4 linked regions of the Lonchura striata genome follow. The protein of the gene in region 2 binds, or shares a complex with, the protein of the main gene of each other region. Links are inferred from orthologs where the notes say so. Each region holds a gene or a part of one and is shown on either strand. Other genes may lie near its edges. The genes, in order: THBD, F2, F2R and F2RL2.

Evidence for each region.
Region 1: the proteins of F2 (region 2) and THBD are in contact, whole or in part, in a crystal structure (PDB 1DX5), measured with the Homo sapiens proteins. The link is inferred for Lonchura striata from reciprocal best matches to the Homo sapiens genes F2 and THBD. Residues at the interface, in NP_000497.1 of Homo sapiens: Phe382, Ser385, Pro386, Gln387, Leu423, Arg425, Thr432, Arg433, Tyr434, Arg436, Asn437, Glu439, Lys440, Ile441, Met443, Lys470; in NP_000352.1 of Homo sapiens: Ser424, Cys425, Glu426, Cys427, Tyr431, Ile432, Leu433, Asp434, Asp435, Thr440, Asp441, Ile442, Asp443, Glu446, Asn447, Gly449, Phe450, Asp479.
Region 3: the proteins of F2 (region 2) and F2R are in contact, whole or in part, in a crystal structure (PDB 3LU9), measured with the Homo sapiens proteins. The link is inferred for Lonchura striata from reciprocal best matches to the Homo sapiens genes F2 and F2R. Residues at the interface, in NP_000497.1 of Homo sapiens: Phe382, Arg383, Pro386, Gln387, Glu388, Leu389, Leu390, Cys391, His406, Cys407, Tyr410, Trp413, Lys415, Leu423, Arg425, Arg431, Thr432, Arg433, Tyr434, Ile441, Met443, Glu457, Asn458, Leu459, Asn506, Thr510, Lys517, Gly518, Gln519, Arg541; in NP_001983.2 of Homo sapiens: Ala33, Thr34, Asn35, Thr37, Leu38, Asp39, Pro40, Arg41, Ser42, Phe43, Leu44, Leu45, Arg46, Asn47, Pro48, Asp50, Lys51, Tyr52, Glu53, Pro54, Phe55, Trp56.
Region 4: the proteins of F2 (region 2) and F2RL2 are in contact, whole or in part, in a crystal structure (PDB 2PUX), measured with the Mus musculus proteins. The link is inferred for Lonchura striata from reciprocal best matches to the Homo sapiens genes F2 and F2RL2. Residues at the interface, in NP_034298.1 of Mus musculus: Phe379, Gln384, Glu385, Leu386, Leu420, Arg422, Arg428, Thr429, Arg430, Tyr431, Arg433, Lys437, Ile438, Ser439, Met440, Lys467, Pro470; in NP_034300.3 of Mus musculus: Thr46, Phe47, Glu48, Glu49, Phe50, Pro51, Asp54, Ile55, Glu56.

Annotation. Positions count from the first base shown.
Region 1 is NC_134605.1:27,849,206-27,856,527, reverse strand, and holds the start of THBD (thrombomodulin), read right to left. Parts: upstream 3,008-7,322; 5' UTR 2,979-3,007; coding exon 1,368-2,978; 3' UTR 1-1,367. UniProt on the Homo sapiens protein: Endothelial cell receptor that plays a critical role in regulating several physiological processes including hemostasis, coagulation, fibrinolysis, inflammation, and angiogenesis.
Region 2 is NC_134608.1:38,794,862-38,802,326, forward strand, and holds the start of F2 (prothrombin), read left to right. Parts: upstream 1-4,457; coding exon 4,458-4,892; intron 4,893-5,866; coding exon 5,867-5,891; intron 5,892-6,097; coding exon 6,098-6,148; intron 6,149-6,590; coding exon 6,591-6,696; intron 6,697-6,777; coding exon 6,778-6,908; intron 6,909-7,465. UniProt on the Homo sapiens protein: Thrombin, which cleaves bonds after Arg and Lys, converts fibrinogen to fibrin and activates factors V, VII, VIII, XIII, and, in complex with thrombomodulin, protein C. Functions in blood homeostasis, inflammation and wound healing.
Region 3 is NC_134642.1:13,412,136-13,419,810, forward strand, and holds the start of F2R (proteinase-activated receptor 1), read right to left. Parts: upstream 3,010-7,675; 5' UTR 2,887-3,009; coding exon 2,826-2,886; intron 1-2,825. UniProt on the Homo sapiens protein: High affinity receptor that binds the activated thrombin, leading to calcium release from intracellular stores.
Region 4 is NC_134642.1:13,444,518-13,452,495, forward strand, and holds the start of F2RL2 (proteinase-activated receptor 3), read left to right. Parts: upstream 1-4,978; 5' UTR 4,979-5,163; coding exon 5,164-5,221; intron 5,222-6,931; coding exon 6,932-7,978. Other genes in the region: ras GTPase-activating-like protein IQGAP2, read right to left, coding at 3,020-3,110. UniProt on the Homo sapiens protein: Receptor for activated thrombin coupled to G proteins that stimulate phosphoinositide hydrolysis.

The sequences.
Region 1 (7,322 bases), on a different chromosome or scaffold from region 2:
TTTCTGGATAATCACGGATAATTATGGGTAATCGCAACAGCTCCCTCCTTCCCACTGCAGCCAAACTGTCCTAAAATAAACCTGGCACATCCACAGATTTACAGCCCTCACTCCATGTGGTTTCACTTTAATCCACCCCAAGAGATCCATGCACAGGATCCTCAGTTTTCCAGCCTTCAGGATAATGACCTTTTAGGAAAACCACGATTCTTACAAATGCCTCATTTTGATTTTCCTGGGAATTTGCAGCGGAGGTTTAGCATTCCAGGGGAGATGCGTGCTGGGAAGTTCATAGGGTGGGAGGGGGGAGTGCTGGGGAACAGAACTCCCCAGTTCTGATCCCAGGCTTCCAAAACTTTCACCACTCTGGGATAATACTTCACCAGCATAAAGCTGCCAGCACGTGCTCTGACGTTCCCGATCCAACGGCAGCCAGAACAGGACCCTCTTTGGCTCCCCAGGGAAGGATGGAGCTGGAAAATTAGATCCCTCTCAGAACTCCCACCCAGTCCGTGGCTGGGAATGAGCGGCACTCTGGATCCCGCCCCCTGGGAATGTTTTACTTTGGGATAGAGTCAGCCCTGCACGAGGGAACAGGGAAAATCTCTTTGGGTGGGAGGGGTCGTAAAAATATCCCAAATCCAATAATTTAAGGCAACAACGGTGGAAAGTCATGGAAGGAACTGGATGTGGCTCTGCAGCACTGCAAACCTTTCCTACCAAACCCATCCCGACAGCCTATGTGTCCCTGTTTAACCTCCACATCCCGCAAAAAATAAGGAGACGGAATGGGAATCAGGAAGTTGAGTCCCCCCTTGGTGACATCGAGCCTGCTCTCACCAGTGGCTTAAGGTGACAAGTGCTTCCCACAACATCTTTGCTCCTCATTCCCTCATCTTAAAACAAACAAACCCCATCCCAAAGAAAAGCAGGAGCCTCCCAGTTCGGGAAAACCATCCAGCCCGAGGGAGGAGGATTTGGGTTGAGGTGTCCTTTCAAAAGTCCCCGTCTTGGTCACACCGTGCTCTCATCCCACGGATTTAGAGTCACTTACACACGGAGTCGTCCCTCCTGGGTTTTTCCTTGCGGTTTTCCCGACCGCCCACTCGGGAAAAGGAAAGCTGAATGCCAAAGAAGCGGGAACGGAGCAGGAGCGGAGCAGGTTCTGGGTGTTCTGCTGTCCCCGCTCTCCGGCACTAGCATTCCAAAAGCCGGCTGGGAAGCAGCGAGTATTTCTGGGAGTGGTGCGATCACAGCTTTTCCCCAATTATCATTCAAAAATTCCAGCCGGGCAGCTGGGAAGGGGCGGGTGGCGGAGGTTAAATGTCACCCCGTTCGGCCTCCCAATGTCCGTCCGACGGATGTCCCTACGGCTTCTGTGCCGAGGGGACGGGCTGAAGCCCCAGCTCCTTCTCGTGGGGGCCGCTGTACTTGTAATCCATAGAGCCGTGGGAACGACAGCGCTTCCTGGCCAGGCAGAATCCCAGAGCCAGCAGGGCCAGGAGGCTCAGAAGGGCACTCACCGCGATGCCCACCAGCACCCCGGGGTGCAGCTGCTCCTCTTTCGGCGGGGGCCGGCTGGGGACGGGGTCATGCAGTTCGGGCTCCAAATCCCCCGAGGACGCTTCCTCGCCATCCCCGTCCAGTTTGCAGTCGAGGCCGAGGAGGTAGTAGCCGGGGGGACAGTGGCACTGGTAGCCGCCGGGGGTGTTGGTGCAGTTGAACTCGCAGTGACCACTGTCGCACTCATCCATGTCCACGCACAGATCGTCGCCGTCCAGCAGGAAGCCCTCGGGACACTCGCAGGCCCCTTCGGCGTCGCACACGGCGGGGCACTCGGTGGCGTTGCAGTGCAGGCGGCAGAGGGTGGCATCCCGCGGGTCCACGGCGTAGCCGGGGAAGCAGCCGCAGCGGTAGCCGTCGGGCAGCTCCTCGCAGCGCTGCTGGCACGGCGCCTCCCAGCAGGGCGGCAGGCGCTGGCAGTGCCCGTTCACCATCCTGTAGCCGCTGTGACACTGGCACTCGAAGCCACCCTGGGTGTTCAGGCACTTCTGCTCGCACGGGCCGGGCTCGCTGGTGCAGTCGTCGACGTCCTCGCAGCTGATGCCATCGGCCGCCAGCCGGTACCCGACGGCGCACATGCACAAGAAGGAGCCGCCGGCCACCACGCAGTGATGCTGGCACTGCGCCCCCTCACAGGGCGAGCGGCACCCGCGCCCGTCCGGGCCCAGCACCGTGCCCTCGGGGCAGGAGCAGCGCGGCCGCCCGCTCTCCTCCGCGCACGTCCCCGCGCAGCCACCGCCGCCCAGCTCGCAGGGCCACGCTCCCGGGGTGTCGCGGCCCCAGCGCGGCCCCGCGTCGTCCCCATCCTCGCAGCGCAGCTCCAGCCCGAGGTCAGGGACGAACGCCACGCTGCGCGGAGGCAGTGCCTGGAAGTCCGCTCCGCGGGCGCCGAAGGGGGTGGCGTAGGTGACAGGGACGGCGCGCTGGGAGGCCAGGTGAGGACAGCTGCCTCCGTAGGTGTACTGGCAGAGGAAGCCGTCTGCCGGCTCCTCGCAGCGCCGCTCCTCCCAGCCCAGCTCCCGGGACACGGTCACGCAGCGCTCGCCGCAGCGCTGCCCCGGCAGCGCCCAGTTGGTGTAATCGGTGCTGTGGTCGCCGGTGACCCAGCGGAAGCCGCGGAGCAGCCGGCTGGGCTCGGTGCAGGACAAGGAGGGCGACAGCGACAGCCCGAGCCAGAGCCGCCCCTTGCGGTTCTGAAGCAGCAGCGCGATCGCCTCCTCGGCCACGGTGGAGCGCACGGTCATGAGGTGTCCCCCGCCCCGCTCGCAGCTCTCGCTGGCGTCGGAGAAGGGCCGGGACGCCCAGAACACGGCGAAACACTCGTGCTCCAGGCACTGCGTGCCCGCGGGGGACGGGTCCGGCGGCTGTGCCAGAGCCGCCGTCCCGAGCAGCAGCAGCGGCAGCAGAGGCCGCATGGCCCGCGGAGGGGGCGGCCGGCGGCGCCCCGAGCTGAGCATGGGCCGCTCCTCCCGGCCGCCCCCTTTATAGCGGCCCCGGCGGGGGAAGGAAGCGCCCCCGGGGCCGGGAGCGACCGCGGCGGTGAATCCCGGCCGGGCGCTGCCCCCGCCCCCGCCCCGTGGCCCTGGGTCCCCTCCCGCATCCTCCCGGCGGCTCCGCCCCGGCGGGGCCCGCCCGGCTGCGCGGGGAGCGGCCGGCAGCGGCCGGGGCGTCCCGCGAGTGCCGGGGAACACGGGCTGAGCCCTGGGAAAGGGGGGAAGCGGCGCGGAGATTTCACAGGAGGGGGCCTCGGCGTGGAAGCAGCGCCGCTGGGAATTGTCACCCCGCTGGGGTCTTCGTGCCACTGGGATGTCACTCAGCTGCTGCCACAGGGCCAGCACTGCGGAGGTCACAGCTCAAATCCTGCGTGCAGCTCTGCATCCAGAGTGGAAAGAAGAGGAGTTGGACCGTGTCCAGAGGTGGGAATGGAGCCAGGAAGGGGCTGGAGCACCGGGAAGGAGCTAGGAAACGGTCTCAGCCTGAGGAAAAGGAGGCTCTAGAGGAAAGCTTTTCCCTCTCCGCAATGCCTGACAGGATGGTGGAGTCAGGTGGGCTTGGGATCTGCTCCCAGGGAATAAGGAATGGGATGAAGGAAAACTGTTTACGTTTGATTAGGGAAAACTTCTTTAATAAAAAATTAGCATATAATTATGTATTTCCATCTAGAGTTATATAACTTATACAGTTCTACTGTTTGGTATTATTGTTATTAAAAGCAATATTATGACCCTTCTCCCCATCTCCCCTATTCCCCACAGACACCTCAGAATGGATATCCCATTCCATCTGTTTGTCCTTGGGGGATCCCTCTGTGCTGCCAGAACAGAGCCAAGAGCAACCTAAAAATGCAACCTAAATGTCCCAGGCTTCTCAATTCCACAAAAAAAAGGGATTTGATGCCGTTTTTTCATGGAATTCCAACAGCCTCGGGCACTGCAATTGTCCTTTGGGATAAGCAGCAAATCCCAATTTCCTCGGATCAAAGAAAGGAGGTTTCTTTATTAAACTTTAGTAAACTTTAGTGAACTTTATTGAACTTTGTCCTTTCTTAAACCCTTGGTGTTTGTTTTGTCCTCTCACAACCCTGAGTCCTTCCCACAAAACCCTGTGGGATTTTGGGAAAAAAAAAAGAAGTTTGGAATAATAATAGTAATAATAATAATGAATAATCAATAATTAACTCTTATTTAACCCCATTGGACATTTTGGATCTGCCACGAAAATAGAAAAGAAATGTCTATAGAATTTAATTCCAGCAGCAGTGATGAACCTCAAGGAGAAAGTGTCCATGGGAGAGCTTGAAACAAAGAATTTATCCAAGCAGGATCATTCCCAGGAATCTCCTGGAGAGCTGGATAACTCTGACCTTTACTGACTTTAGGAACACCTGTTGTTCCCACAATTTTCATTTCACTATTTCCAATTCTTCTTCCACTTCTCCTTTTACTTCTGCGTCTGTTCTCTGGAGAAAACTACCAAGAGAAGGGGAAAAACATCCCGGCAAACCACAGGAAAAGAAGGAAAGGAGAGTGTAGTGGAGATGGAAAAAACCCCAAAACAATACATTTCTGCTCCGGCTGTTTTATTTTTTTTTTCAGTAACTGCAAACCCAGATAAAAAATTCCTTGTCAAGGTTTTGTCCAGGAAAAAAACAGAGCCTTCCCAAACAATGATCCCACCTCACTGGTCTTGCCCGACTGACGTTTGTCCCTAAAAGATAATCGAGATGGGGTGGGAGGAATGGGATTAATCACGGTTTCTTAATTCCTTTTATCCCACTGCTCCAGCGGCTGAGTCAGGGTGCCAGCACTGCCCTGCCTGCTGACAGGCTGCTCTTCCTCTTCCCCAGTCCCATTAATCATGTTTCTCCTGCCTTTCCCCTTGGCTTTGACTCATCCGGGCTGTCCCTGTCACTCTGCTCAAGCGGGCACTTGGAGTGTTTGTCCTGACCCCCAAATCTGGGAGTTTGTGTCAACAGGGGGGAGTTTTTGGCTTCTTTGAAGGGTTTTGGGATGAGGTTGCTCTGTTGGAATGCTGGCAGTTGTCCATGAGGGAATGGAAAGCAATGGAATGTAAAATAATATGAAATATCATGGGATAATAGGATCTAAAAGCAGTCTATCCTATCAGTCGATCCCGAAAAGAACCTCACGCAGAGCAGCACTGAAATCAAAGGGATTGCTCATGGATTTGGAATGTTGGTCATGGGATTAGGGCCTTGGTCATGGGATTGGAACTTTGGTTGTTGGGCTGGGACCTTGGCCATGGAATCAGGACCTTGGCTGTGGGATTGAGAACATGGTCATAGGACTGGGGCCTTGTTCATGGTTTTAGGAATTTGGTCATGGTCTTAGGACCTTGCCCGTGGGTTGAGGTCTTTTCTCATGGACTTTCCTTGTGGTTTCAGGAACTTGGTCATAGGATTAGGATCTTGCTCATGGACTTGGGCCCTTCCACCTGCGTTTAGGGCCTTGCTTGTGGATTTGGGACCCTGCTCATGGATTTAGCGCTTTGCCTGTGGCTTGGTGACTTTTTTTATAGGTTTAGGACCTTCCTCATGGATTTAGGACTTTCCTTGTGCTATTGGGATCCAACACAGCCCACCCCATGGCCTCAGCGGAGATGAAGGGAATGGCCCCTGCCCAGGACCACAGATCCTGGGAAAGGCTGAGATCATGGAATAAGCCCTAGGAAAGGATTTGGGATCACCACCCACCTACTGTAGGGAAGACAAGGATTAGGAGCACCAGACCATGGATTTTTAGGAATATCTTTATTAAAACCCACTAGAAACACATTTTTGTTCAAGTTTTCTTGGAATTCCATCTGGAGAGCAGTGTTGGGATAACTTTATGCTGTAAATCCAAGAGTTTCATTCTGGCAAAGCAAAACACTCATCCATTACAAAAAAATCCAAGGAGCAGGATGAACATCCCATCTCCTCTGGAAGACAGGGCACCAAATTATCCTGCTCCAACTTGTGGGATTCACCAGTACCTGGACAATTCCCTAAGGAGGCCACAGATCAAGATGTGCCAGGAAAAATGAGACATAAGATTGAATCCAGGTGGAATTGCACCAGGGAGGAAGGATGCTACAGCAGGAAATATTCCGTTAGGAAGAATCCAACCTAAACCCTTGGCACAAATTCCTGTCTTCCCCTAGATCCATCATCATTCCCCAATGGAATACATAGAAGTTGCATCAGAAATCAGGATTATGATTTTTTGGGAATAAGCAGCACACTTCAGGTTCTTCCCAGCTATGATTCCACCCTCACCCTTCCTTTCCCTTTTTTATAGCCTTATATCCCATAAAAAACCCCAAGGTTGTCACTTCCCAAAGATCCCAATCCGGCATAATTGCATGGGATTTCCTTCATTGATCCAGCTATTCCCAGTGCTATGCTGGCTTGGGATTTGGGAATTTTTGGCAGGATTTCCAAGAATTCTGCTGCTGAATTCCCCCACGTTCTCCCAACCTAGGCAGCGCATGGAAAACATTCATATCAGCTCAATTTTCCTGTTTGCAGCTCACAATGGGGACCCAAGACAAGAAAAAAGCAGGAAAGGGTTTTCCTCAGCACATGGAATGACAGGATGCAGCTCCCTACCCACTGCAAACTCCTTTGTGTTCTGTTCTCATTCCTGGAGCAATTCAGCTCCAGGGACACAATAACTCAAACAGAAACTTCAAGAAGCTGCTGGACCCTTCAAATCCTGTGGCTGATCTTTTCCAGCCCTTCATAGCATGGATAAACTATGAAGGAGGTGATGCTGTATGTGCCCCTCAGGATTTTGAGGAGAATTCCCACTGGAAAGACTGCAAGAGGCTCAAGGAATTTTGGGAAGTACCTGGGGAGCAACTTGGCCCAGAGATTTTTTTGGGAGTTACGAGTTTTACACTGAATAATCAGCAAATATTCCAATTCCAGCATGTTCCTTACACGGGGAAAGAGGGAAAACACACTCAGCCTAGAGCCAGGAAGGACTTTCCCCCCCCAAAAAAAAGATACAACAGGAAAAGCCCAGCCTCCCATGTGGCTGATGGGAAGGAGAGCATTGTTTTCTCTGTTTAGAAGTTGATTTAGGCAGGACACTCAGGATATGAGGACGTGGTTGTTCCAAACACAGCTTTTCCTACCTTTATGAAATTCCTTGGCTCTGTGATAAGCAGTTTTCCCTGGTTTCAGGCAACAGATTTTTAATAAGATCCTTAAAAAAGTAACCCTTAAACCCCACCCTGGTTGTGCCTGCAGGGGC
Region 2 (7,465 bases):
CTGTGTTTGAAGCGAGTGCCCTCTGTCACAGCAGAACTGGGAGAGAAGGGGGAGCAAGGGGGGGAAGGGGCAGGGAGACCCAGACCCCTACTCCCTAAGCTGATCTGCTTCTTTATTCCAAGGTAACAGGAGAGAGGTAGAAGGAGCAATTATGAATTAGGAGGTCTTCACAGAAACATTGTTCACCTGACAGTAGATCTGAGTAGGTGGGAGCATGTCTGTGCCATGCTGCACGTATCACTTGGCTGCAAGATAAGCTTAGCTGGCTAATTCTGAGGAGCCCATAGGTGATTCCCATAGGCCCCTGATGGTGATGCCACCACCATGTCTTTGTCTTAGAAACAGCATGTTCTCATGTGAACAACCTTTTTCTTGACAGCAAAATGTTGCATAAAGTTGTTTACTCCTAGGAAATTCCTATAAAAGCCCCAAAGAACCTCAGCAGGGATGGGATTTGTACAGGGTGCCATGGCTATGTCCAGTAAATGGTATTTTAATGACTACATTGTGGGCTCTGAGTGCCTTTTTTATTGGGATCCATAACAAGCCCTCATGCCAGTGCATTACATTTGGTGCAGTTGTCAGGATCCTGGTGAGAAGGGAAGAAGGATAACAAGGAAAAGGATATGTGCCTGCCTGGTGCCATATGCTGGCATGGGGAGCAGCTACACAGCCTGCTTTGTGTACCCATAATAGGTTCAAGCAGCAAGCACAGAGCTCTCCTGGGTAATGAAGTCCACCATGCTGGCAGGCTTCACCAAATCTTTGGGGTGCTGCTGCAACACTCCTGGGTGACAAATGCCAAGGTCTTTTGGATGATTGGGGTCCTTTGTGCTGGCAGGGTGACACCAGGTGTCAGGCATGCATACAAGTGTTACATTTAAACCTCACACCACAATCAGGGTTCAGTTCCTGGCCAAGTTGTAAACTGGCTTAAACCTGACCAAGGTGTTTGAATGAAAAGGAACAGGCTGCACAGGGAGGAGACAATTCTCTGGGTCCTGGCCCTCGGGGACAGGGGAACTCCCATGTGAAGGGATAAAGGTTTCATGTTTCTGATTGTATCCAAGATGTTGCTTTGATCAAACTGTATAACTCACTTTAGGAACAGATTAATAAACGCTTCAACTATTGAACCAGCAAACTATCCATAACAGAGCAGACAAAGGTCCAAGAAAATGGGCCAAGGCCAAATCCCCTATATTCTGCTCCCTGGAAGTTGAAAAGTTACACAGGAAAAAAAAAAAAAAAAGAAAAAAAAGAAAAAAAAAAGCCAAATTTCTTTACTTAAAAAGAAGAATTAACACATAGGACGAAAGAGATCAAAATTCCCAACTGTGTTACAAGCAGTAACTCTGGATGGAAAAGGTATCTTAACTCTCTTGTCCTAAGAAAGAAAATAGCATCCATCATTCATAGGTGAGTGAAGGCAGAAAGAAAATGAAATTATAAAAAATTGGTTTGAATGGAAGAGGTAAATGTTGGAGGGGTGGAAGTCATCCCTGGAGAGGTGGTGATAGCTGATGCATACTGTGCTGCTGCAGAGGCTAACCACAGGAATGGGAGAAACAGAAAGGAGCCCTAGAAGCACATTACGGAAGGAGAAAGGCCACAGTGTGAAGAGTCAGCATTTTTAATTACTAACATTGCTGTGAGACACCAGAAAGAGCTGGAAAGGGTCCCAGGATGTAGTGAAAATCTCCAATTACAAAGCAAAATGTAAAGAAATAGAAGACATCTAAGTGATAGATGTATCCTTGAGCAATCTAGAGATAAGAAGTTTCAGCAGTTACAGTTAACAACTTAGTTGCCCTGATAGGTGGGTTTGTCTTGTATCGCTCGGGAAAGAGCAGCAGCAGCAGAAAGCAGCTGGGCAAGAAACAGCCAGACATAGTGACAGAATCATCAGTTTCAGTAAGGGTTTTTCAAACAAATGCTTAAGCAACAAAATAAATGTAGGAACCAGAACAGAAGTAATGTTTAAGGAAGATGGCATAAGTGGGTATTAGAAGATATTCATACCTGTCTGATAACCAAGGTTAACTGCTGTATTGTAGCATTGCTTAAAGCTGGCCTTATATACTGCATGATCCCATGGAAGGTGGTAAGACCTTTCCTTTAAAGGAAAGACAAGCAGAGGGTAAAAATCTATGCGTAACAACGTTGACTTAAGCTGCCTGGTTGTTACAAAGAAGAGACAGAGATGCAGAAAAGAAAGTGATTGAGGAGACTGAAAGCTGCTCCTCCTCCAGTGAGGAGTGGAGGTGGCTGTGTGGGACACAGCAGCAGCCTGACCTTACCATTCTTGTTTGTGCTTTTCCCTGTCCCTGCCTGCGCTCTCTACCTAAATGCTGCTTCCCCTGCTAAGTAACATGGGGATTTCCAGGGTTGTGTCTAATCCCATTCACACACTCTCCACCCAGGTCATTTCCACCCAGGGAATTCCAGCCATTTCTAAAGGTGTATTTTCAAAATCCATAGCGAGGAGTAGAGATGTGTGTGGATGAGAACAGGAGATACTCTTATGTGAGGAAGGAAGACTCTGCAACTGCTCTTTGTACCAGTGTCCAGAGTCATTCTTCAGCCACCCTAATGCTAATATTTGCACTTCTTCTATGGAGATAAACATTACAGATGTATCAGCTGCACAGAGGCACAGGACAAAATATGCTCCCTGCTGGCAGGAAGCACTTTTGCTCCATGTGGCAGATTCCTGAGACTACCCCCATGCTGCCCTGCTTTCTGCTGTTTTTCCACTCTTGCCAATAGTCTGCTTGCTGTAGCAACCATTAGAGCCTTCCCAGCTCTGGTAGTCCACTTCTTGACTTAACAGCTGATGTCATTACATCCAGACCATTCCTCTCTCCCCATTCCTGGAAGCCCTTGTTTTTCTGGCTGGTTTGGGGTGTGCTAGCTCCCTGCTTGTCAGAGTTTCTGTTTCCTTTTAGATGGACTTTAGTACATTCCACTAAGGGGGGAAGAAAAGGGGGAGCCTAGCCTTCATGCTATTTCATCCTCTTCCACTCAGCTGGGAATTATAAGGCATTACGAAGAATGCACTGCCAATGGCACTGGTAACTAACCTAACTGGGAGGAAAATCTAAATCCCAAATGGGCTGTCAAAGGCACCCTTTCTGCTCATTGTCATGGGCAAGGGAGAAGGGAGAACACAAACTGTGTTGTGGTGCCAAAATAGCTGAGGCTGAGCTTACTGATAACTGCAGGAAGGAAAGACAACTGAGCACTAGGGACACTCAGGGGGGCTTGCAGCTAAAAAGAGGACTGGGAATGGCTAAGGAGGTCTCAAAGTCCTTCTGTGTTTGAGGTAGCTAGAGTACAACCTTTGAGAACAGTCAGTATTAAGGACCTGAACCAGCATGGTGGGGAGGCAGTGATGGTGCCAAGGGGCTGCACAGGAGCAAAGCCAGGGAAAAGGAGCAAGCTCTCTGGCTGGGATGGCTGTGAGCTGGCAGAGGTATCTCTCTCCAGCCCAAATTTTCCCTGTACCCTAGGACAAACTTGCCCTCTTGCTACTCATGCATCATCCTAGATATGAAATAGGAAGTTAAGTAAGGAAACAAAGATGCTCTGACAGGAGGGAGAGATGCCAAAAGAGGAGGGATAAGAGTCCCACTGTCCCTGACACACCATGACCTGGAGTCCTGTTTCTTCATTCTGGTTCAATATTAACCCAGCAGGGCTGTGAATCTGCTTATTCTGCTTCCTTTGCAATTCCCCTGCAGCCACGGCTGTACAGCATGGCGCAGAACAAAACCAACATACTGAGGGGCCTGCTCTTCTCCAGCCTTCTGCACCTCACCTTGAGCCATGCTGGAGGTAAGACTCAAGGGCAGAAGTACCAGTAGATGACAGGGGGAAGACAGAGATAGTTCTTTCCAGGGGTAACACAGGTGGCAAGTTTTCTTCCTCAAGTCAGGAGGACAGGCTAAAAGCTTGAAGCTGGGAGCAAAAGGGTGCTGAGAATGGAGTGAACATAGGAGGATGCAGCTGCATCTGCCAGCTGGTGATAGCAGCTCAGTGCATTTTATGGGTCACCTGGGAAATGGCAGGGAGGGGACTGTGGTCCAGGATCAAGTCTAACAATAACCATGGGGCTTTTGGGAATAGAGTTTCTCAGCTGACCTAGATGACTTCAATTCTCTATTGCTTGTCCTGCTGTGCCTTATCAAAACCTTAGGTCATACAAAATATTCCACCTGCCTGCTCACTGCTCCCTAAGGAGCTTCTGTCTTTTCTTAACATGAGGTTAAGTACTCTTCAACCCACTACTGAGCAGGAGAAGACCTGTCTCCACATCTCAAATCAGGGGCTCTGAACATGAACTGGAACCAAGTTGTGTTTAGCACAGTGGTCTGAGACTTATAAGACAGAAATACAGTGGCTGGGGATAGGGACAGCAGCAGGCTCAAAGCAAACAAGCCTCTATCTAACTGCAAATGAGCAGAGCAGCTTTGCCGAGGAAGCAGTGTTCCTGTTGCTTCTGTTCCTTAAGTGATGGGAGCTGTGATGGGATGAATTCCAGTGAGCCTGCTCTGATCATCAAGCGTAGACATGACAGGGCTTCTCCTCTCTGTATGGTGTGCTGGGGGAGGCTGGGCTGTGGGATCACCACATCAGCTGCATGTGGTTTTTGGAAACTGCAAGGGGAGACAAAGGTGCCCTCTGGCTGTGAGCAGCCCTTTGACTGGCAGTGTTCTGACCTGATAGTTTTCCTGGAAAAGGGGCAGGCATTGTCACTGCTCAAGCGCCACCGACGTGCCAACAAGGGATTTCTAGAAGAGATGCTTAAGGGAAACCTGGAGCGAGAGTGCTTGGAGGAGACATGCAGTTATGAGGAGGCTTTCGAAGCCCTTGAATCCACTGATCAGACGGTACGTACCGGGAAACATTCCCCCAGCCAGCCTCTGTGGGGAGACACCAGCAGGTTGCCCACACAGCCAGGGACCAGGGTTGTAATACTCAATTCTGTGAGCTAAAGATGAGGCTGATGAGTGCATGCCCCACGGCAAGCTCAGGCTTCCTTAGGGAGTTTCCCTTCTTGAGACCTGCAGGGAATACACTTGAAAGCTCAGGTTCTTTTCTCTCCCTCTCTATGCATGAAGTGACAAGGTGCTATTGGTCCCGAAAAGCACCTTCCACCAGCTCAGCATGGTACCATACATGCGAACTGCTATCCCAGACACCCACAGAAGCACTGGCATAGTAGTCAAAACACTAAGTGCAGGTTGCTCAGACTCCCTTGAGCTTTTGCTTTTGCACACCCTGTCTATTTTTCTGCCTTCCAGACTCACTCACTCTGTCAAAGTTGTCCGATACTGCATCCTTTTGGGATTTGTTCCTAGACCCAAGGCTGGTGTCCCTGCAGAATTTCACACCCAAAAAACCCATAAACAAACAGTTAGGAGCCTAAGCCAGCAAGACACTAGCTCTTTGGAGTACTTCAAAAACAATCAGCCTCCAGCTGCATGGCAGAGATGAGCAATACCTACATGTGATCTATGGCCTTAGAAATTCCAGGTTCAGCTGCTTGGACTTCTGCACTGTAGCATACTGCATTACTTGCACTGCTTGCTTTGCAGGTTGATGAAGGTTGTAAACATCTTTGGTCTTTTTAGAAACAACAGTACTGTCTTGATTGCCAAGTCTGATGTGTGGGAATGTGGTTTTGCATCACATTTTTGCTTTGACTCCATAGTAATTGGTATAAACAGAACTAGATTAGTCTTTCCTTTTGTTGTTATGGAACATTCTCTTACTGGTTTCAATAGCGGTAGCCCAGAAAGGTTTGATGTTTGATGTTCTGTGTCCTTAAATTATTTTTTCTTTTTTTTTTTTTTTTTTACAGGATATATTTTGGTCAAAATACCAAGGTAAGTTGAAGTTGTTTTGAGTCTTGCAGGTATTGTTATTCCTTAGAATGCACTGTCTCATCCTGGAGAGATGGCTCCCTCTTTTAAGAGCTCACTTTCCAGGGCTAAGCACTTGTGTTTTGTCTCTAGATGGTAACCTGGTTCAAATGACGATGCTTATTTGGATTGCATTCATACAATGTGTTTCTTTCTTCTTATTTTGCTAGTATGTCAGGGCCTGGGAAAGTCCAGGACAATTCTGGATGCTTGTCTAGAAGGTATGAACTTCATGCTGACCTCAATCTCCTAGATACAGTGAGTGCCAGGAACTTGCTTCCTGCAGAGATTGTACAGAAAAGAAATTTAACTGATGTTAGAGAAGCCATCTAATTTTAAAGAAAAATACAAGGGGAGGAATTTGAAATTATTTCTTACTCTTTATTTCCCCAGTAATCATTTCAACAGACAATCTGGCTTGTGCACTGAAATAGCAGCCTCTGAGAAAGGCTCTGAGCCAAAGCAAAGCACAGAGCCCTCACAGACAGCTCCCTCTGATGAAGCAGAGAAAGCTTAGGCTTCTCACAGGAAGAGGATGCCTCTGCTATTGCAGGCTCATGCACCCAGCAAAAGTTAAAGGGATATGTGGGGATGGTACTTCTGACCTTGCAAAATGCAACATCCAGTTCCACTGACTGGCTTGCACTGTTGGGATTTTGACAGGTAACTGTGCTCTTGGGCTGGGCCAGAACTATCAGGGAACAATTAGCCAAACCAAGTCTGGGATTGAATGTCAAGTGTGGACAAGCAAGTATCCACATATACCTAAGTAAGTTCATCTCCCACATACCCCTTAAGAGTTCTCTGGGGTATCCTTCCTTCCTAGCCTAACCAGCTTTGTCTCTCATAGATTTAATGCCACCATTTATCCCAACCTCATTGAGAACTACTGCAGGAACCCAGACAACAACTCAGAAGGCCCGTGGTGCTATACCCGAAACCCAACAGTAGAACGGGAGGCGTGTCCTATCCCCGTGTGTGGTATGCCCCAGCACTCCAGAGAGCCCTTCACTCACAGCAAAACACTGCACTGAGACTGACACTAAAGCAGTCAAGGAGAGGGTTAAGGAGGGGGAATGCTTACATGAACAGAGGTCAGTAGGAGTAGAGAAGTTGCATCTTAAAGGGTAAAGGAGATGAGGAAGAAAAGTCACTGAGTTGCCCATACATAATGAGCTATTTTCTCTAGATTACACTAATGTAGATCTAAATTAAAACCAGTATCGGCAGTACCTTGGAATGTACTACAGTATTTTCTAGTCAGTCACCCCAGAATCCTGGCCCAGCTGTCTCTAATTTGTGACAGCCAAGAGTCATAATGCTTTTTGGTCTGAATGCCTACCTTTAGAACAAAATAACTAGTTTATGCTTGACTGCCTGCCTTAACGTTCTCTCCTGTGAAGGTGTGCAGTTTAATACTCACAATTTCAAGTAAAGAGAAGATACCCTTCTCTCATCATTAAGCTGAACATAGAGGATCATCTCCCTACACTTGCACATTCCCGTTTCTCCCTAGTACAAAGCCATCTCCTCTGGGG
Region 3 (7,675 bases), on a different chromosome or scaffold from region 2:
CCAGTTGTCTTGTCCCAGTATCCCTCAGATTTGGAGGACCTGAGCTGTGCTGCAGTTTCACATTTTTGAGAACTAGCAAACCAACCCAATCAGAGTCACTGACCCTTAATGACTGAGGTTAAGTCTCTTAGTGTGGATGCCCTGGGTGATAACCTGAATGACTTCTCATCACCAGCTCCTAACTGAGAATGGTATAAAAATATGCTACACGAAAAGAATGCTATGAGTGGGACAGGTACCTTTTACTGACTACCAGCCATTGTCTAAGCTAGTGCTTATAGCTAAATGAACATTGCTAATAATTTTAATTATATTCTGAATTCTTGGAGGCATCTTATTTACAGGTTTCTTAGATGAAAGAATTTAGAGTCACTTTTACTCCATTACAGAAATTTTCTAGAGGTAGAATCCTATTACAATAAATCAAACAAACAAAAAAAATGTATAAATAATTTTAGATAAATATCTGGAATAATTTGGTGAAAACTATGTATTCTTTGTATAAGCAGAGGCTTTCTAAGTTCAGAATTGAACTCAACCTTCATTCTGCAAACATCACCTCTACACTGACTCCTGTTCTAAATCCATGTCCCCATTTTGAACTTAGAAGACATGAGGTACTACTTGCAAGCCAGCTTTGTGGGAAAATGTAATGAGGCATCACACTTGCTATTTCGCTGCCACTTGATAACATGAAGAATGGTGACCTAAACTTTCATGTCTATTTTCATATGCAAGGGACTACTCTGCATCCCACTCTGTGAAAGAAAATACAACTTTGACCAATCTTAAGCTCCAGAAGAAACTTGAAAAATATTTCTGTAGACCCATGAGCATGGACAGAATGTTACAAACCAGCAGACTTCACATCCCGAGGGATATCTTTGTGATGTCAGAGACTAGAGAACAGGCTTGTGTAGGAACACAAGCCAATTAAATATGTTCCCTATGTGCTGCTGGACAATAAATAATACTGATTTATGGGCATTATTGGCAACAGCTGCATACTAGCTTATAACAAATAGGTTTCTTTTATCTCTCCTTTGTACAACCCCAAGTGATAAGCATCTATAATCTAAATTACTCAGTAGCCCATAAATTAGGCATGTGAAGGCAGACTCTGAAGTGCATGCCAGACATGCATTAATGAACAAAATAAGACACAATCTTGTAGGAGTGATGACAGTTAATTGCTTTTATAAAAATAAAACTGAATTATTTATGAGTTCACATCTCTATTTATATAGAATTCATTATTAGATTACACAACTGATGTGGTAGCAATCTGAACACATTTTCTTGAACTATTGTTTTCTTGCAACTGGGTGTCTGCTCTGTTTTCTCATCTCTTTAACCACATATGCTGGCTTCAAACAATGAATAATCTCTGTCTTGCCATCAGTGTCTCAAGGCAGGGAATTCCAGGCAAGTTTCAGACCTTAGACACCTCAACAGCACTGGTCAGATAATTTGTAGGCACTTAACACCAACCTACTGCCAAACTAGTGCTTTTTCATCTGCCCAAAGGAACAGTGCAGGTCAGTAATGTGGTAACTGTGCACAGCGAAGGATGGCAGAAAAGCCAGAGCAGACCACAGGATACAAAAGTGCATGGGCAACAGGAATGATGTACATTGTGGTAAAAACAGGTTATTTAGGACAGCGGGGAAATTATATTATTATGATGGGAGTGAGCACAAGAAGAGCAGAAGACATATTCAGATGATTGGGTTTTGTTAGTTCTGTTGTACATGAAGTAACTGGAAGAATAGCACCAACAGTGAAATTTTTTCCTAGCATTAACATGTGCAGCTTGTCTTTTACACCACCTCCCCCTTTTCTTAAAAAGATATTTTCCTTAGACTTCTCATATGAACATGATTTCAGCTTCCTTCCCACTTGTCCTTGTACCAGGAAGTTGTCCAGCAAAAATTATTTGCCCTCTCTGATGCTTCCCTCCCAGCATAGTTACAAATACTAGGTCTATCCCCTTTCAGTTTAGCTCAGCAGTCAAAGTATGCTATGCTCTGAAATTTCCTCTTAGCTACTCATCTAATCAGCCCTTTTACATATATAGGACCTGAGGCTCTACTGCAGGCCATCGTGGGACGTTATTTCTACAGGAGCACTATCGCCACTACCTGATTGAAAGAAATCTTAAACTGAATCAAGGAAAATTGTAATAGCAAAAAAACCCCAGTGCTAATCTCTAAATGCACAATCCTTTGTACTGCTGTACCTCTGCCATAAGGTGTGAGGTTAAATGCATGCATGTCTTCTCTCTCTTTCCTTACCTCAGCATCTCCATCGTTTAACAAGCTCTGAGCAGGACGGATACATGGGCTCACCAGGTAGGGTTCTGATGTTGCTATATCGTGAATAACCATGAAATAACCATGAAAGTAGTCTATCTACTTGGGGTGCATATTCTGAACAATTTTGTGCTGGCAGATCTTCCGAAATTTGCACCTCCTAGAAATTCAGCTGGCACACCCTCTTCCTACGTTGCTAGTGAAAGGTTAAGAGAATCCAGCAGCAAGTCTCGCCGATCTGGTCCGTTCCCCCGCCACCTGCCACTGCCTGCCCCCCTCCTTAACCACGGCGTCACCCCGAGCCATCCTCCACCACCAAGAACAGCCTCTCCTCGCCGCTGCCAGGAGCACAAAGCGCCGAAGAAAACTCGGCCCGAACTCGCACGGAAAACTCCCAAGCGGGATCGCACGGCCCGGCAGCGTGCGGACAGGCGATGCTGAGCGCTGGGACGCCTCCGGCTCTTCGCTCCGCGGCCGGAACACGCCGCCAGCGCCGCGGCCCCGCGGACCCACCTGGCCGGGGCGGCGGGCAGCAGAGCAGCGCCAGGGCGCACAGCAGCGCCCGGGGCCGCATGGCCGCGCCTTCGGTCCGCGGTCCGTCCGCCCGTCCGCCCGTCCGTCCGTCCGTCCGTCCGTCCGGGGCTGGCGCACGCAGCCCGCACGAGGCCGGGGCTGGCGGAGAGCCGCACCGGGACTCCCTCCTGCCGCAGGGATGGGGCTGCGCGCCGGGGCTCGGCGGGAGGGGAGGAGAGGGAGGGGAAGGAAGGGGAGGAGGAGGCGCAGGGGCAGCGCCCGCGGGACTCGGAGCCCGGCCAGCAGCCCCCGCGCCCCGCTGGGACACGGGAAGCGGCGGCCGGATCGGGCAGGGTGAGAGGTCGGGAGCGCCGGAACAAAGGGTTATGTTCAAGGAATTATTCTAAGCTAAGTTTGCCAAATTTGCAGTCCGAGTGCCTCACGGGAGCAGTTGTACGGGCAGATGAAATGCCTGCATTACTCACAGCTGAAGGATCACACTGTTTCAGTTGATCTACTTCGTATAAAGGAGATGACGTTCAAGCTGGCTTGTATTGCATGTGTTCAGTAAACTGCGCTACAAACACAGGGCAACCCAAAAGCGATTCATTGCCCGGCTCTGCAGCCCTCTCTGCTGTTCCAAAATTCCCGATAAAGTGGTGCCACTCCCCAGTCCAGTGGCGCTGACAAACTTTGGAGTCTGTGATCCTTTTGAGATGCTCATGAATCAAGAAGTGGTTGAAGCAAAACCTACATGAAGGTTGCATAGGAAAATATTTTGGTAATTTTGCAGCTATTATTTAGAAGCTTTGCTTTCAAAACATCCCACTGTTGTTTAAGTGTTTATTAAGCCTGTAGGACAGTCAGAAGCTTTAAAGTGGACACTGGCTTGCTAGCGTGTGCTATCCATGCCTCAACTGTATATCCTTCTGTTTACAGCAGTACAGACAAAAATGGGAATGAGGGAAGGCTGATTTGAACTTGCTTATATGTATGAAGTGCCTTTATTACTGCAGAAGCACTGAGCTTTGTTTTTGGTGGAGAATAAAAATAATGGAAGACAAATTTCCCTAATCATATGTACTGGTTCCCAGTAAGCTCTGTGTCTCTATGGTGTTCCTCTCACAGTTCTACCACTACTTATAACATGGTTGAAGATGATTGCATTTGTATAGAGCAAGAAATAAATACAAGTTTTACAGCTAGCCAGCCTTCCCACAGCTCTATCATCCCACATGCTCTAGGAAACCTAGAAAAAAATGCTTTATACTTAATTGAACTATTCATCTGTTTAGACAATACCTTAATCAGAGGTAATTATTTCATCTGGGAAGAGAAAGTGAAGCTATTCTTTTTGTGAGGTGAAGCTAGTAATTTCTGTGTGGTCTCACAGTTCTATAACATGCACAGACGTTGCTCTTCTAACACTCTAAACCCAAAATAGAACTGAACTAAAACAGGTAATTGTAAAAATGACTCAGGTTCTCAAAAAAGCATATATTGCTAGTATTTTTCTTACATTTCAAGAAGTGTTAGCCAGTGGGCAAATGCTTGAGGAATAACTTAGATTGCAGAGTTTGTAAAACATATGAAGAGAAGCCTGGTTCTCTTCAGATTGAACCTCCAGAAGTATTTTAGTCACAGACATTAGAAACCATCATAGGGCTATGCCCTTTCATCTTTGTAACCTGGTTATTATATATACAGCAAGTGAATAAAACCCATGCTTGTTAAATTTTATGTCTGCATATGAAAACCAAATTTAAGTTTTGTATCCTGTAGTTTTTTGAATCAACTTGCTCCTTCCTCTCAAGATAACTTATTGTAACAGAGGTGAAGAGTTCAGGACTTAATAATTTTTAATGCTACTTGGTGTTTTTTTTAGTAGAAGTATGTTACAGAACAAAACTTCATTCCTTTTAAACACACCAAGTTTACCAAAAAGGACTGCACCTATCTAGCCAGACTGCTACATCATTACTGTTTGCGGAAGGAGATCTTTCTTACTACCAATACACGGATTACCCTGGTGCTTGTCAGAGGTGGGTGGTTACTGCTGAAAGATGAGCACAGAAACACACACCTCAAGCAGGGAAATCAGTCATCTAGGTAGAGGGTTGTGTATCTTGTTACAAACTTTTTGAAATCACATGTAGCTGTCAGTGTTTGGATTTTCTGGGAATGAAGGTTGTTTTACTCCTGTATTCTTTAAAAGAAAGTTGGACAGTTAAAGGAGGTCCACGGATCAGTGCAAAGTGAAACAGAACAAATCTAGTGCTTGTGTTGGTGCTCCTGTCTGCCTGGCCTAAGCAGAAGGATGTTGTTCTGCAATTTTGTGGGTAGCTTTTTATCTTTAGAGGCCCTTGAGAATGGAAAAATTCCAAAATAAACTAAGTAAGCTGCCAGGCACTCTTAATGAACTCTAAAGACACGTGATAGAAAAATGCAAGCCTTGTGGTTAAAAGGCTAAGACTATTACCGATTATAATTTCTTTTCCCTGCCACCAGTTAAGGAGGAAAAAGCTGAGAGATAGGCTGTGCAAAGAAAGATGCATTCTCTCCTGTAGTGACAACCGATGCATAGGCCCAATTCAGCTGTACTGGCATTTTTTCTCAGATTTTGGAACAGCAATGCAAGTCTTTCCACACCACCATTTCATGATTGAAGCTGATTTCAGCAAGTCCTTTCTAATGTTGGAATTCCCCACATTGCATCTTACAGTAGCCTCTAAAACACCTTTTTTTTTTTGTAGTTAGTAGCTGTCAGCAGCAGTGGGTGATAACAAAATCACTTTGCTCATTTGTATGGTACTTCACACTACCATCAATCTTACATGGAGGAAGAAAACATTGTGGTCAATCCTTCTCAGCAGGGTTCATATTATTGTTCAGTGACAAGGCCCTAAATGGAACTACCTAATTAAGGAAAAAAGCTATAAAGGAGTTCAAAGACATTAAATGGAAATTATTCTTTGATGTGCACTAGGAAGAACAGGAAGCCCAGGCTGGAAAAGGGGCATGCTGGTACACAGACTGTACCATTCATAATTGTCATTATGTGGAAATCAAAGAAGCTTTTCTAAGCTTGCCTGCTCCAGGAAATAACTGAGGAATGTGCTATTTGCATTAGAACCAGGCAGGTACTAGATGTGCAAGTATATCACACAAAATTGCATAACCAGGAGTGAGTTACTCCCATAAAGGCTGTGGGTCTCTGGCATGTCTCACCAGCACAATTCCAGGCTTTTGACACATTGCCTCAAGAGTCCGTCCTTAGGAGCAACATCACACCTGTGGCAGATTTAGTGCTCAGCTAGAGTTTTTTAAAAATACAGCCATTAGTCAAGTCTGTTGCAAATAAAAAGGGGAACAAAAGATTGGGAATTGAATTAATATTCAAGTAAAATTCAGTTCTCTTCTTCAGAAGGAAGAACGAAGCACTGTTTTCATTTTTCTATCCAGCTATTTTAAGTGAAGTAGGGTATCAATACTGCAGTATTTATGTCATATTAAAATGGTTTATACATAACCAGCTAGAAGAAAACTGGGATCACAGAGTAGTTTTTTAATCATTTAATTAGGGATATTAACTGTTTTAAAGTAGTCATGTATTCAAACTTAATGTCATACATAAATTAATATCTCCAGCAAATGTAATAATTTTTTCAGCTTGTGTAACACCACACATCAGTTAGTATATCAGCTGAGTTTGTAATCCATATATCTGCCAGTGACTTAACACTGTTCTATTCTCTTACCAGAGTTCTTACTTAATATTTGCTTTTATAATTAATTCCAGAATTTCTCACTATCTTTTGAAGTGTTTGTCACAGGAAAAGTGAGAGAAAGAAGTATTTTCTATTGGTCACATTACCAATGGCACAAACTTTTGCTCTGTTATAGTTCCTAAGCAAAATCTTCATCACATTCAATGGCATAAGGGCCATGAAGTCTTCACTGCTGAGCAGCTTTCCTCAAGTGTACTGGAGACAGGCTTAATTACATGCAATTTTATAAAAGCACTGATATAAATTCTTTCAATTACCATCTAGGTTGCAGCTTTAATAATTCCTTGAAATGAGATTTAGGGACCAAGCCAGTTTAATTAGGTGATGTTTATTTTACATAGAACAATCTCCAAAGAATATTTAAAAAACCCAATCTAAATACTGATTTTATTGCATTTATTTTCTTACAAAAAAAAAAAAAAATAAAAGACAGGCACAATTTAGGTATTCAAATACTTCAAACTGAATAACTGTTCGCTATTCAGATTTCCCCAATACCACTCCAAAGGCTGTGAAAATAGAAAATGTCATTTTGCACAAGGCAGTAGTGCATTTAGTAGGAATGAATCGCAAAATATATTTTTGTGAAGCAAGTTGTTATTGTCACTCTATAATTACCTATAAAATTTTTTGAATTGCACAATATATTTGCTTTGCAATTGACAACTGCCACACAATAGGCCTAGTATGTAGCTAAGTATTTGCTCAAACTATCCCTTAGAAACAAATTAGGTTCTCTTTTGGTAAATACTTAAAGTCTAGTATCAGCTATATTATATATCTGAGGTAATTTAAAAATGTTTCAATAGGAAGAGGTTTATATATTTAACTAAATTCAATTTCTGTCTACTTTAAAATCTACACAATAGCTGTGTGTCCTAAAGAAAATTTTGATTTGAAAGTACCAACACCAATGAAATCTTGAGCTGTTTAAATGAATAGATTTCTTGGTTTTCTGTTTTGTTATCAATGCTGAAAAGGCACTGTGTACATTCCTCTGAACATTTGGTGTTTTAGGGTGTGTTTTTAAAATTTAACAAGCATCCAACGACAAACTTCAAA
Region 4 (7,978 bases), on a different chromosome or scaffold from region 2:
CCCAGCACACATTCTACCATTGCTGTGACACTGTGATATCCAGGCATCTCGCCTCAGCAGCATGGAAGCAGAAAAAACTGGGAAGCCACACATTACATCTGGCTGCTGCTGGCCCCAGACTCATACACAGTCCCATGTGCCTCATCAACTCTGTTCAGCAGTGTTTGAATGCTTTCCTTCCTCCTTTTCATCATGTTAAGGGTGCTGGAAGATATTTTTATAAAGACAAAAGAAAACACAGCTTAAGCTAAGATTCATTTATGTAGGTCCACTGTCATCTGGATTTTCCTCATATTTTAATTAATTATGCCTACATATTTGAAGGAAAATATAAGAAAAGTGCTTATCAGGGAAAAAGCTCAAGTTGGCAGAAATTATTCCTTTCATTTTAAAATGCTAGCAATTAATACTGTGGCTGTTGCTCTAGAGAAAGGCCATTTGGACCCTGAAAAATCATAAGATAACTGAGGGTTAGCCATCCTCCTCAACTGCCAGAAAACTGTCAGCTCCATTTGCTTCTCCAGCAGTTAGGATGCCAATACCAGATCAACACTGCAAAGGGTTTTTCTCCACACCCATCCTCCCTTTTAAACAGCTGTGATATACAAAACCACAGTTGTCTGGTGTGATAAGCCTGAACTCTCAACAAGGCCAAAGATCAGCTTTTTCCTATAACTTGGACTGTCTCAGGACACAGACTTCCTGCTTTGACAGACTCTTCCTGTGCAAGACTGAAGTCAGTGTTCAAATCTACTCCTGAAGGCTATACAGCTGATATTTGGCTGATGTCTTTTTGTCCTTCACTTAGATAAGGAGTACAATGGTTGAACTCATTAAAGAAGTGAAGCAAGGTGATGCAAAACAGAGCAAGCACCACAATGGGTTAGGAAATGCAGCAGCACTTACTGAACACTTCTTCCTAAATATAGGTAGAAGATACAGAGTCCTTTACTGACAACTTTAGGGATGACTGTAAAAGCCTTTCAAAATTTTAATAGTGTACCATTTAGTATTCATATAAGGCATAAAAGTTAGTTTGGAAGTGATCAAGACTGTTTCAGTACCACTGCCAGTATCTTCTCTTATTTTACTGCTTATTTTATTGCCATTACTGCAGCAATCTCAAAACCACATTTTAAACTGAAAAATACATCTTTGACTACCTTGTGAAAGTTTTGGAATTGTTTGCCTTTCAAAAATAGAGCCTGTGTGATAGATCAAATAAAAGTTCCTTTCCAAGTTGTGATCAAGCTGAACTTTAAGTTTAGACTACGTGAACACACATGCAAGCTTCCTGAGACAGGATGTGTTGGTTATAGGAAGTATCAGGTTCTGTGCTGTGGGGAAATGTTAAATCTCAGGTTTTAGCTGCAAAACCTTACAGCTCTCTAAGAATGTGCTGTGCTGACAGTGCTTCCTTTCAACCCACAGGGCAGAGTACATGAAATTAGTACTTTTTTTCTAAAAGTGAAATGTTAAAACAGTTCCACTGAGCATCCTTGATTGTGAAAAACTGTGCATTTACTACGAACAAAAATTATAACAAAAGATTTTAGAACAAGTGGATGGACCAGTAATTTACCATTAGAAACATTGTGTGGTATTGCTGTATGAATTATGCTGTCCTAATTTCTTCAGGCTGCTTATGATACATATTCTTGATGCTTTTACACCAGTGAACACAAATGAGGGCATTTTAAAGTTGCTCTTAAGGTTTAACTCAAATCTGTTTATACACTACATGTTTCCTTCCTTTCTCTGTGCTCATGTTTCCTCATGGCTCTGGATGGCATTCAAGGGAAGCAGGTTTTTCCACAAAAGAAGGTATCAGCACTCCTCAGCAGAAAATCTAGGTTGAGACAATATGCATGTATCTGACCCTATCTCAGAAAACACAAGCCCAGCGCTTTCTATGGATATGTGACCTACAAAAATACTTCAGATATCTTCTGTGTATCTGCCTTGTTACATGAAGATGACATTAGTTGTTTAGCTCAATTCCAAAGTAATAGCAACACAAAATGCAACATTCCTGTAGCAGGGATAGCTATTTGTAATGTCCATCTGTGTTCTCTTCCACCCACGACTGCCCAAGCAGTAACTCCTGACGTGCCTGTGCACTCACAGCAGCCCCATGGCACCAGGGATGGCTGAGCACAGCACTGCAGGAATGCACCCACTTCAGCACTTGCATTCACAAGCTCCAAAGCTCCAAAGGTGCAACAGAAAGAAGCACTGACTCACCCAGAGCCAAGTGAAGCAGAAGGCTGACCAATACCCAGTGCCTTGTCTGTGCTGTGATGGCAGGCACATCACCATGCTCTCCAACGCGCCCCATAAACCCAGTGATGCTTGCTGCTACGTTGCTTGCCAAAGTTTATTATGTATTATGAATACTTTTTCTAAAATTATCATATTCAGCCAAAGCTTTGACAAAAGGTGTTGAGTCCATTCAGTACACAGCACTCTGACAGATTAAGTCTCAGCGTTTTTCCTACAGATTGGAAGAGCATATGCTTTTCAAAAAGAGCTAGCATTTCTTGTACACTGCTTTAAAAGTTAATCTTCCTGATTTCTTTGTCAGCAATCCATAAAATATAAAGAAACATGAATAAGCAAAATTGTAAACATAAAAATTTGCCCTTAAAATATGCATAAAGATTTTAGTCTTAAATGTAGCAAAACAAGCTCCTGAACAGCATATCTGTTCTCATTCATATATTTCAGGAGCTACATGAAGATGCAGTGACATTAGAAAGATTGGTCATGATGTAAACCTGTATAACCAAATCCATTTAATTATTAGCCACACCTTAAAGATTACCACTTTAGATAGAACTAACACCACTCCTGTAGTTTTAAGTCATCTCAGTCTTAGTATGACAAAGAACATGCATTCATTTCTTTTCATGTATTTAAAGAGCTTGCACCTTCTCTGAAGTGGAAAATATAAATTACCAATTTCATTTTCCCAAGACCAAGAAAAACAAGACCAGTGGAGATGCAGGTTAATGCTTACAGGTTGCTGCTTCTTTTATGTTGTTATTGCTGTCATTGATTCCTCTTTGTATTTCATCCAGCCACAGAAGAGCTGATTCATCTTGAGATTCCTAGAAAAAGGACAGTAAAAAGCCTTGAAAAAACTGAATAATAAGAGTTATCTCAATATAGTGATACAGTTCCAATACACAGTCTCTGCTTTGCAAAGCTCTAGAACACAAAAAAAGGATTTGATTGTTTAAAATCATCAATGAAATACATTCATGTTTTGTTTACTGACTTGAAAAAGATCCTGTTCAGATACAAATCTCTGAAAGTTTTGATGTCTAGAAGAACAGAATTTGCTGATACTACTGGCAGAGAATTAATTCTACTAAAGATCAATACAAATTGAAACATTTTTTTTTCCATGATATGTAGATAAAGTAGTCTGAGTCATGTAAAATCACACAGACAGCAGGAAGCTGGCTTTCTTCAAAATCCCTTATTTGGAAAGGATCCTTGTGTATATCTAAGTACATATTACAGTGAATACTCTTATAGAAAGTCCAGATTTAGTAAAGATGACTTAGCTCATGCAAACATTTCTGTAATTAAGCTGCGGAATAGGCACTGCTATTCTTTCAGGCCTAAAGTGCATGACATTAAACCCAAGTTAAAATAGAAGGTGCATTAGAGTGGGATCAACATGCCTACTAACTAGCCCTACTGTCCAGGTTCACTGGTGATACCCACACTTCAGCAGATAAAACAGGGTTAAAGTAGTATTTTAAACCTAATCCAGTAGGTGGGTGGGAAATGCATGCTAAAGAGGAAATGTCACGCCTATCATAGACTAGCAATGAGAGAAGCTGGAATGTATTGATTAAGAGAGATCTAGGAAAATATACACACAAATATTTCAGGGAAAAAATACAGCTAGAAAGACATTCAAACTAAAACAGTGTGGATAAAGAAGCAGCTTTGCAATGAGTATCCCTGGTTAAGCACTGAAGCTCAGGTCAAATAATAAATCTGATATCCACAGAAACTACAAAAACAGGGTAAAAAAACCCCTAAAGACATGCTCTTCGGTTTACATCATGTATGTAAGCAAGGTAGCAGAATACTTAGTATAACATGAAGTGGTGTCAGACAATCACAGGACAGTGGACACATACTGCTTATTTTTCTACCAAGTGAGAGTTAGCACATGAGAGAATGTTCAATAAATCCCCAAACTGCCATTGCATTTTGAGAAAAGCTTTGAGAGCTTTTACACATTAAATACAAGAACAGACACAAATACTGCTCTGGAGCCAAGTAAAACTTATGCTGATCCTCACAACTAGCCTGGAAGCCAGACCAAGGCTTGGGTTAATTTGGCTTGGTGAAACAAGCTATTGCTATTTGGCATTGAAGGCAAAAAAAAAAAAAAAAAAAAAAAGCAAGCCAGGCAGAGAAAAAGGGAGGGATCAACAAAGCAGGAAATGAAAACAGGGGAAAGGAGAGGAAAGGTTTTAGAGGCTGCAGTGTGTGGCAGGATGGAAACTGCCTGGGGAGAGGCTGTAGGTGGATTGAAGGAGCCAAACAGCTAATAGTGGGTAGGGAGGCAAAAGGCAAAGCAGAATGCAGTTTTCCTGAGGTATATTTGTATGTATGGTTTCTTTCTTTCTGTCTTTGCCTTTTGCTAAACTGAGATAGTCACACCCTTCTGCAAGCCCAGCTTTTCCCTGGAGAAGGGTACAGAGTTCAGCCACGTGACATTTTGGTCCTGAATGAGACCCTTGAGGATTTACTAAACACACCCCTTGATTTTTCCAGAAAAAAACTTTTTACTCCAAATACCTGTATGTACAAATGTCAGTAGAACCCTGCATATCAGCTTCAGGCTTGTGGTAAATTAGGAGTTAAAATGCTGCTGTAAAGGATTTTATCTCTGTGTTGGGCTGAGGCTGAAACTGAGTCATATGTGCATATTTGGATACGTCACACTCTCTTGCTGTAGTAGACAAAGAACAAGTTAGCTCCTTACCATAAACCTCATGCTTACAGGATGCTTCTGGAGGACAGATCAATCTTTCTTTAGTCCCTTACAGAGAGTAACCCCCCCCCCTACAAAATGTCTCTTGAGATGAACTAGCACAGCGCCATCCTTCAGCTGGCTGGATTTCACACACTACAATGAAGATACTGTTTTTCACTGGACTGCTCTCTCTTACTTCCAATCTTTGCACTACAGGTGAGTCCTCTTTTCTGTATCTATTCCATATTTTAGTCAAGACTTTTTGATAATGTTGCTTTACCAGCTGTGGACTTAAAATGAGTTGTACATGCATGTATGATTACAGAAAACTGCTCCGGGATGTCTCCTTTAAAGCAGATTTTTATACTTTCATTTCAGTGACACATTACCCCTGCCAGTCATTTTGTAAAAATAGTTTTATTTAAGAGGACTTTCTGCACTTACTGAAGACACATCTTTTATCTAGTATTTTTGTAACAATATGAAATTTTAAACCTGTAGTGTCTTGTTTTGCAACTTCACAGATGGTGTTATTAGAAGGAAATGCCCAGATGACTATTGTGATAAAAATAACTAAAGGAAATGATCAAATAATAAACCTTTCTAGAATTAAAAATATTTTCAAAACAAGCTCATTTAGAAAAGCTGGTATAGATAAATATATATATACATACATACATAATATACATATATATGTATTTACACCTATGTCTATTTATTATACATATATCAGCCAATGCAGGCACATGGATGACTCCTAGTGAGTGGTTAAAACTAAACTTCTGGAATAACTAGCAGAAAACTACTAGAAATTATGTAGTCTGCTAATTATTATTATTATAAAACATTCTACTATTAGAGTGAACATTAATAAAATTATTCTCTTTAATTTATTCAAATATGGAAAGGTAAAAAAGGGTCCAAGGATTTTCATCCATATTTCAGTTTGCTTCTGAATTTCAGTTTCATGGTGCATGCTGAAGGCTTAACAATAAGTAATTTTGCATTAAATGCACATAAGAAAATTTAAGTGACACAAATATTTACACAGTTGTTTACTGTGCAAAATCTATTCTACAGCACATGGCTTTAAGAAGCATTTTGAGCACATTTGTGCTTCATGTGGAAATGTTGATATATCTACAAATTTGTCTACTAAAGATTGAAAAACAGGTGTTAGCAGTATTAATATCTAATAGTGTGTTAATAGTATTACTGGTTTTGCCCACATGCTGACAATATTTACTCACACATAATTTTCCTACTGCTTGAAAAGTTTTATTCACTTCTTAGTAAATCACACCTAATACTTTCCCAACCATTTGTTTTCAATTTTCAGACATTGCCCTTTCTCATGTACAAGAACCTGAAAATACCAAGTTTGCTTTAGTCAAAAGCTGCAGAATAACAGTTTCACATGTGAGACCAAAAAAACCAAGGGTAATTTCAGTTTTCTAATTTGAAAGCTTCAGTGTTAGACTAGATAGTGCTTTTTGCATCTTTTGCAGTTACTCATTTAATACATGAAGTGACAGGATAGTAATGGTGGCTGACCAAGCCTAAACAAAGACTGCTTATATGATGAATGACCAGCATTCCTACTACTGGGAAAAATCCTCCACTGGTCATAAGCATTACTGAAGTGTCTGATGTTTTTCACCAAAGATTACTGAAAACACTCAAAGCACAGAAAGGTCAGCTAACACTACGTTAATGATGAATTTTCAAGATTTGATGTGAAATGATAAATGAAGACTGTTGTCTGTACATTTGAATACCCAAAGCAGAGGAGAATGTCCCCAAATCTTTTAAACTTATACTGCTTTCACATAAAAATGGTTATCTTTCTCTGTTCTGAAGGTGAGTCATCTTGTTAATGCAGTAGTTTGTCTTTTTTAACAATTCTCACTTTTTTTTATTTCTAAGCTTCAGAATTTTCACTGAATGGCTCTGCAATTAAAACCGTGTCTCTTATAAAAACTTTTCGTGGACTTTCAGCGAGAGACTATGATTACATCCCTCCTTATGCTATAGAAGGGGAAACAACAACCATCCATATCAGAGAAAACAAATGCACTTCAACAAAGCCAAATGATTCCACGTTAACAGAAGTGAGCAACACCACGCTGGAGTACCTCACCAGCTCCCTGAGCACCAAGCTAATACCTGCTGTCTACCTCAGTGCTCTTTTACTGGGTGTACCCTCTAATGCCATCATTCTGTGGATGCTTCTCTTCAGGATCCGCTCTGTGTGCACTGCCGTCCTCTACACAAACCTGGCTGTTTCAGACCTGCTCTTCTGCATCATACTGCCCTTCAAAATAGCCTACCACATCAACGGGAACAACTGGATATTTGGGGAGACCATGTGTCGAGCGACCACGGCAGTGTTTTACGGCAACATGTACTGCTCCATCCTGCTGCTGACGTGCATCAGCGTCAGCCGCTACCTGGCCATCGTTCACCCCTTCACCTACAAGAGCCTCCCGAAGCGCGCCTACGCCATCGCCGCCTGCGCTGCCGTGTGGGCCATCGTCTTCCTCTACATGCTCCCACTTGCCATCATGCAGCAAAGCTACTACGTGAAGCAACTGGACATTTACACCTGCCACGATGTGCACAGTGCCTGTGAAACTGTGTCTTCCTTCCAGTTCTACTACTACGTGTCCTTAGCTGTATTTGGGTTTTTAATACCGCTCGCAACTATCGTGTTCTGCTATGTCTCGATTATACGAACACTCAAGACTCACGAGTGGTTCTGGTATGTTAAAGTCAGTCTGTTGATTCTTACCATCTTTGCTATTTGCTTTGTGCCAAGCAATATTATCCTTATTATCCATCACATCAACTATTACTATTACAAGACAGATAGGTTGTATTCTTTTTACCTAATTGCTTTATGCCTTAGCAGCCTAAACAGTTGTCTTGATCCTTTCCTTTACTTTCTAATGTCAAAAATTAGAAGTCAATCCA